2 linked regions of the Sus scrofa genome follow. The main gene of each other region encodes a partner of the protein of the gene in region 2 in a complex. Links are inferred from orthologs where the notes say so. Each region holds a gene or a part of one and is shown on either strand. Other genes may lie near its edges.

Region 1 (4,482 bases), on a different chromosome or scaffold from region 2:
AACTCCACACGCCGCAGGGTGACCAAAGAAAGGGAGGGGGAGAAAGAAAGAAAGAAATGGACCTTTGAGTGTTGAAACAATCAGCCAACAGAGCTGGGAGGGAGGCGGGGCTTCAGAGGCCCCATCTGGCATTGCTCAGACTTCGCACCGCAGCTCACAGCAAGGCTGGGTCCTTAACCCACGGAGCGGGGCCAGGGATCGAACTTGAGTCCGCATGGATACTGACCGGGTCCGTTACCACTGAGCCACAACCACTGCATTTCACATTTGAAACAACTTTCGAACTCAGAAACCTCAAACGTAGCTCTTAGTTACATACACACACGCGTGCACCCTCGCGCACACACACACATGCACTAACACTGGTCCACTTAGCATCGTCCTAGAGGAAGGCCCAGGGGCCAGGCTGGCCTGGAGTATGGGAAAGCCTGACTTACAAGCTCACTTGGGGTGACCTGGCACCGAGTAACTGAGCCTCCTAAACAAATTCTCAGAGGTTAACGTGACCACCAGTGTCCGTCAGTTAATCAGTTATAAGAAATGCATGTTCTGGAGGAACCGGCACCACCACTCACGGGACTGTGCCCTCTACCTGGGGACCAAAGCGAAGGGTGACATATACCCATGCGAGCCGCCTGTGCGACGCTCAGAGCAGCATGTCCTGGAGGAGGCCTGAGGCAGCGAAGGGAGCAAAGCCGCACTGGGCACCTTAAACGCCCCAGGGCAGGGTCCAGGCGCTCTTAGTTAATCCTTTAATGACGAGACCGCCTCTGAACCAAGACCTCAGGCGCGAGGTCGGGGGTCCCTAAGTTCAGCACTCAGCACACGTCTCATGGGTGGTTAGCACGCGCCCGGCACGGAGGCCAGAACCGAGGGGACCTCGTCCCCACCTCAGGGGTCCCTTCTGCTCTGGGAGACAGAGCTGCGTGCCTGGAGGGTGCCAAGCTCTGCGGGGCTGCGGGGTGACACCTCAGGGAGACACCAGAGCCAGAGCGTGGGCCGGGTGGACGGCTCAGAGGCCTGTTTCCACAGCAAAAGCTGAAGCTACGGGGATTCTGTCCAGCTGCGCAAGTCAGAATGAAGTGTGTGTGTGTGTGTGTGTGTGTGTGTGTGTCCGCTTCCTTTAATGACAGCACCTTGACCACATTATAACCATGGAATAGAAATCAAGGTGAAACAAGAGATGTTCACGAGTGCAACAAAGCATTGTGCAGTTTACCAAAGTTTGTGTTCGCTCATAAATTATTAATCACTTCCATTATAGGTAATGCAGCCACAGACTCACACCTGCCCCAGGTCCATGAGGCACCCCAACCAATCCCCCCCTCTAAGTGCCACTGTTTAAATCTGCAGTGTAACATCGCCTATTTTAATTTCCATTGACTTCCAGCAGTTACTGCAATGCAAGCCAAGAGTCGCTATCTTTTTTTTAAAGTTAAATACTAAAAAAAAAAAAAAAAAAATTGAAAATAAATACGGAAAAGAGACTTTCTTCGGTGCCGAAGAGGCTGAAAGAACAAGCACGGCACAGCGGGCACCCCGGGACCTCCTACAGGGCCCAAGTTCCCCATCTCATGAGCAGGCGTGAACCAGACCTCCGTCACTGCCGCCGTCTGCTCGGTGACACAGGACCCTCCGGGGCGGCCAAGGCCACTCGGGCAGGGTTCTGTGCACAGCGCCCCCATCCGCCCGGGGCTGGCACAAATGAAACTCCAGGCTGCGGCTGGCCCCTTTCCTGACCTTTTCTTTTCCTTTTTTTGTTTTTTTGTTTTTTGGTGTGTGTGCGCGTGTCTTTTTAGGGCCACACCCACAGCATCTGGAAGTCCCCAGGCCAGAGGTCGAATCAGAGCCACAGCTGCCGGCCTACGTCACAGCCACAGCGATGCGGGGTCCGAGCTGCGTCTGCGACCTACAGCACAGCTCATGGCAACACGGGATCCTTAACCCACTGAGGAGGCCAGGGATCGAACCCCCATCCTTGCGGATACTCATCAGTTCTCAACCTGCTGAGCCACAACAGGAAGTCCCCGATCCGGGGTCCCAACTACAAATCCACACGGACTTTGCTCTTCCCCAGCAGACATGACACCTGCAGCCCTTACGCCCCAAGTGAGGACGGATGAACCCAACAACCCACAAGCAGCTCCTCGCCTTGCCCACCAGCCATCTGGAGCCGCCGGTTTTCAGACCCGGAAGCCGGCAGGGACGCTCCGCTCCACCTTCCCGAAGCAAAGGTCAAGGACCCGGCCAACCGAGCTCACAAACACAGGCCTGAGGGGCCCGAAAGGTCCTCCGAGGTGGCTCTTTCCAGGCTGCGTCAGCACCTACCTCGTTCTCCACGGAACACCCCGTCGGAAAGCCAGTGTGAGCAGCGATCTCTCGGGAGGAATCCTGGTTCCTCCCCCTCTGCCGAGAGCTACCGTGCATCCTTCTCTTTTCACTTGTGATCTTGTTGAAAAACAGAGTCAGATGTCAGCCCTCCCTCTGAAAAAAGCATGTGAATGAACAGGAAGACCAGAAACCACAGCTTCCTTCTGCACGCCCCAGTGAAGCCGTCCGCAGTTTTTAAAAAGGTTGAAGGAGCAGGCGACACCCCGAGACTGCTGGCAAAATCCAAAGAGACTGCGAGCACAAACGGTAAGAGTTTTTTTGTGGCACCGCGAGTTGAGCATAGGGGTTGTCACTGCAGCGGCTCAGGTCACTGCTGTGGTGCAGGTTCGATCCCTGGCCGGGAAATTTCCATATGCTGCAAGCACGCCCCCCGCCAAAAGACCCAAAGTAAACCCACACATCTTCGCACTAAACCAGCCCATCTAACTAAACCAGCCCATCTAACTAAACCAGCCCATCTAACTAAACCAGCCCATCTAACTAAACCAGCACACACACCCCCCCACTACCTCCAGCACGCAGAGCCCGTGGCCACCCGCACTTGCAGCCGATACCGTACAGTCGGCTCGAGGACATTGCTGCGGAAGTCTGGCCACGGTGCCCCTCCCAACACCCAAGCGAGAACACAGCCGACTGAGGGCACTGCTGGGGCTCCCCCTCCTGACCGTGCGGCGTCACCTACATGGCAGGACCTGCCAACATAGCTGTTTCAGGCTGGCTGCTGGCTGCCTCGGGGCACACAGTCCAGAGGCAGGCAGGGCACAGCTGCAGGACCTCCAGCCTGCAAAGGCCTCTACCTGCGTCCAGGACGCCCGAGTTTGAGACACAACTCTGAAACTGAGTGTCCCTCAACAGGCTCATTTTACCTTCTTCAGGGTTAAATCTGATCCTGAAAAGGAGAAGGTGGGTTTGTTGACGGTGAAGGTCCATACTCTGGATATTCCACAACGGCTGCCAACAGGAGAGGCTAGTAATTAACTGTAGTGGTTAACGAGAGTGACCCATATCCTCACAGCTCAAAACGAAACAAACAGGAGTTCCCGTCATGGCTCAGGGGCTTGTGAACCCGACTAGCATCCGTGAGGACCTGGGTTCGACCCCTGGCTTTGCTCAGTGGGTTGAGGATCCGGCGTTGCCGTGAGCTGTGGTGTAGGTCACAGACATGGCTTGGATCCCACATTGCTGTGCCTGTGGTGTAGGCCAGCAGCTTCAGCTCTGATTAGATCCCTAGCCTAGAACCTCCATATGCCGCAGGTGCAGCCCTAAAAAAAAAAAAAAAAAAAAAAATTTCACTAATACTTGGTTTGTTAATATTAATATTAGATTTGATCAAATCAAAGTGCTAATTTTCACAACAGTTTTCTGCCCATAGGAAAAAAAGGGCTATTTCAGGAGTTCCCATTGTGGCTCAGCAGTAATGAACCCGACTTGAAGCCAGGAGGATGCATGTTTGATCCCTGGCCTTGCTCAGTGGGTTAAGGATTGGGTGTTGCCATGAGTCGTGGTGTAGGTCACAGAGGTGCCTTGGATCTGGTGTTGCTGTGGCTGTGGTGGAGGCTGGCAGCTGCAGCTCCAATTCAACCCCTAGCCTGGGAACCTCCATGTGCCGCAGGTGTGGCCCTAAAAAAAAAAAGGGGGCTATTTCAGTTCAATTTAAACTGTAACAAAGCTTAGTATTTCCTGGTTTCGAAAAGACTGGTTCAGAACAATAATTCCACGCGTCAACTCCTACTGCCTACGGCACAGGCGTAGAAAGTGCAGTGGGCCAGGAAAGCAGTGCTGTCCTAGGTGGGAGCAAACATCTGGATCGCCTCCCTTTATCTTTCACAGACTCGAGGCACTGTGTACACAGGCTGGCTCCACTCTCTCCCTCCTACAAGCCGCCCCTGCAGAGCAGGACCAGGTGGCCCTGAGGGCGAAGGGGACCAGGAGTGAGACAGAGATTTCAGGATGCGGAGTGGCCCCCACACCTCATGGTGGTGATCGCAGGGCCTGAATCTTGCTGCCTGCTCCCCACCAGGTCCCCCTGCAGGTGACACACAGCTCTTCCTTTTTTTTTTTTTTTTTTTGTCTTCTTTTTTAACATTTCTT
Region 2 (2,462 bases):
TTCTGCTCTAGTGGGAGAACAGGTGCCAGGTCAGGAACACAAAAGCCATGACTTTCAGCTCTTAACAATCTGGCCCAAGGCCCAAGCCCACAGCAGGGGAACTCAAGAGCCCAGAGGGCACACAAAGTCTCCAGTTTAAAAACTGGGTACAGCATAAGAGTGACTGCAACTTGTAAAACAGAGACAATTGCATTGACAAAACTGGGTCTCCCCCTCAGTGGGGGAAGTTCCACATCTCAGGCCCCTGCTCGAGGGTGGGAGGAGGTGAGGGTCATGGGGTCAGGCAGGACAGGCTCCTCCTTCCCTGAATAAGGCAGCATAACATTTGCTTCATTCATCTTTGGTAAAGGACAGGAACTGGCAAAGCTGGCCTGGGAGCTCCGGGGGAGCAGGGCCCAAGCCTCTGCTTTCCATTGGCTGTGGGATGCTAGGCTTTACCTCAGGCTTGGGTGGGCTCATCCAGCCCAGAGATGCCCTGGTGGTCTCCAAACAGGGGAGAAACAAAGTAACACTCTGAATGAAAGTAACACTATTCAGACCCTGGAGTCAGTCCTGTGTTCCCAGACTGTGGGGTCTGGTGCAGACTGCAGTGTCAGGACACAGACCCGAGGGTGGGGCCCACGGTGCCTTGCACACTGTTCCTTGCCCCTTCCCTCTGGGCCGAGCTGAGGACACTGGAGCTCTCGGGTCTGGCAGGCTGGGGGCTCCCAGTCCTTGAGGCCGCAGCCACCCCACCTGGCTCTGAGCCCCAGTGGTAGAAGGGCACAGAGAGCACTGGCTGGTCTGCAGCTCCATGGTCCGCAGCCTGGCCTGGGAGAAGCAGCAACTTTGCTGAGCCCCGAAGCAGCCCCTCGCCTGTGCAGCAGGGAGCGGCCGGCAGCAGCGTGGCCTTGAGAGCTCAGTACACGAGCTGTGCAAAGTGGTGTGTGAGCAGCTCCTCGGCCGAAGGTCTCTGGCGGGCCTCCACAAAAATGCGCCTCAAGAAGTCCCGGCCGTGCTCAGAGATGTGGGAGGGCAGCTGAGGATTGGTGGGCTGGGTGGCAATCTTGAAAATGGCGGCCATGGCTTCATACTCTGCCCAAGGTGGTTTCTCTGTCAGCATCTCCACCACAGTGCAGCCCAGGCTCCTGGAGAGAGAGAACCCCTGTTACCCCAGAGCCAGCCCCAGGCTCCCGCTGCCCTGCCCACCGCTGTGAAAGGACCTGCCCTTCTCAGAACACCCTGAGGCAGGAGGGGCTGAGCTGAGGGTTGACACCCTCCAAAGGGACCCCAAGGCCAGAAGAGGCTTCAAAAATCCATCAGTTTCGTCCACAGGGGCTTCATCGGCCTACACCAACCTGGGCGCTTCTTGAGATTGGGGAAGAAAGCCACTTTGGCAAGGACAGAAAGAGCCCTGACATAACTTTTAATTTGCTATTGCTCCTGTAATACATTACCATGAACCTAGTGGCATAAAAAAAAACAACAAATTTATTACTGTTTTGGAGATCAGAAGTCTAAAATTAGGAGTTATACCCGTGTTGTGGTGCAGCGGAAATGAATACGGCTAGTAACCATGAGGTTGCAGGTTTGATCCCTGGCCTCACACAGTGTGTTAAGGATCCAGTGTTGCTATGAGCTGTGGTGTGGGTCGCATACACTGCTTGGATCCCACATTGCTGTGGCTGTGGTATAGGCCGGTGGCTAAGCCTGGATTCAACCCCTAGCCTGGGAACCTCCATATGCCATGAGTACAGCCCTATAAAGCAAAAAAAATTTAAAAAAAAATTTTTTTTTTTTTTTTTTTTTTTTTTTTTTTTTTTTTTTTTTTTTTTTTTTTTTTTCATTTACGCTTGTAAAACTACTATTGAATGTTAAAAGAAGACAGACAGAACCAGATCGACATGAAAATATAAAGATCTACAACTGAAAAAATCAAACAAATCAGTAAAAAAAAAAAAAAAAAAAACTTTTTTAAAAGAGGACGACGACTGAAATTAGTCTCACTGGGCTAAAATCAACATGTCAGTGGGGACGGTTCCTTCCGGAGGCTCCGAGGGGAGACTCCATCTCCTTGCCTCTTTCAGCTTCTAGAGACTGCCTGCATTTCTTGGCTCATGGCTCGGCTCCTTCCTTGCATCATTCCAAACTCGTTTCCCTTGTCACATCTACTACTCACTTGGATCTCATCTCCTGCCTTCATTTATTTTTTTAATTGTAAATTAAAAAAATTTTTTTTGGCTGCTCTGCAGCATACTGAGTTCCTGGGCCAGGGATCAGATCTGAAGCACTGTTGCAACCTACACTGCAGCAAGGCCAGATTCTTCACCCTGTGCTGGGTCAGGGATCGAACCTGCATCCCAGCACTGTAGAGACAAAGCTACTGATCCTACTGTGCCACAGCAGGAACTCCCCCTGCCTTCCTTTTATAAGAACCTTTGTGGAGTTCCTGTCCTGGCTCAGCAGAAATGAATCTGACCAGC

What was found.
Region 1: the proteins of MAP3K3 (region 2) and CCM2 are in contact, whole or in part, in a crystal structure (PDB 4Y5O), measured with the Homo sapiens proteins. The link is inferred for Sus scrofa from reciprocal best matches to the Homo sapiens genes MAP3K3 and CCM2. Residues at the interface, in NP_002392.2 of Homo sapiens: Asp2, Glu3, Gln4, Ala6, Leu7, Ser9, Ile10, Met11, Asn12, Asp13, Leu14, Val15, Ala16, Leu17, Glu50, Asp82, His84, Met86, Asn88, Glu89, Leu90, Ser91, Ile92, Leu93, Arg117, Leu119, Leu121, Ser122, Gln123, Asp124; in NP_113631.1 of Homo sapiens: Leu299, Tyr302, Met303, Leu306, Arg307, Ser312, Gln313, Ile315, Gln316, Gln317, Phe318, Ala319, Ala320, Leu321, Leu322, His323, Glu324, Arg326, Glu333, Ile336, Asn337, Gln340, Leu341, Leu353, Phe356, Pro358.

What each region holds. Positions count from the first base shown.
Region 1 is NC_010460.4:50,427,114-50,431,595, forward strand, and holds the start of CCM2 (cerebral cavernous malformations 2 protein), read right to left. Parts: upstream 3,002-4,482; 5' UTR 2,901-3,001; intron 2,842-2,900; exon of another isoform or gene 2,449-2,841; 5' UTR 2,428-2,448; coding exon 2,329-2,427; intron 1-2,328. UniProt on the Homo sapiens protein: Component of the CCM signaling pathway which is a crucial regulator of heart and vessel formation and integrity. May act through the stabilization of endothelial cell junctions. May function as a scaffold protein for MAP2K3-MAP3K3 signaling.
Region 2 is NC_010454.4:15,230,580-15,233,041, forward strand, and holds part of MAP3K3 (mitogen-activated protein kinase kinase kinase 3), read right to left. Parts: intron 1,128-2,462; coding exon 899-1,127; 3' UTR 1-898. UniProt on the Homo sapiens protein: Component of a protein kinase signal transduction cascade. Mediates activation of the NF-kappa-B, AP1 and DDIT3 transcriptional regulators.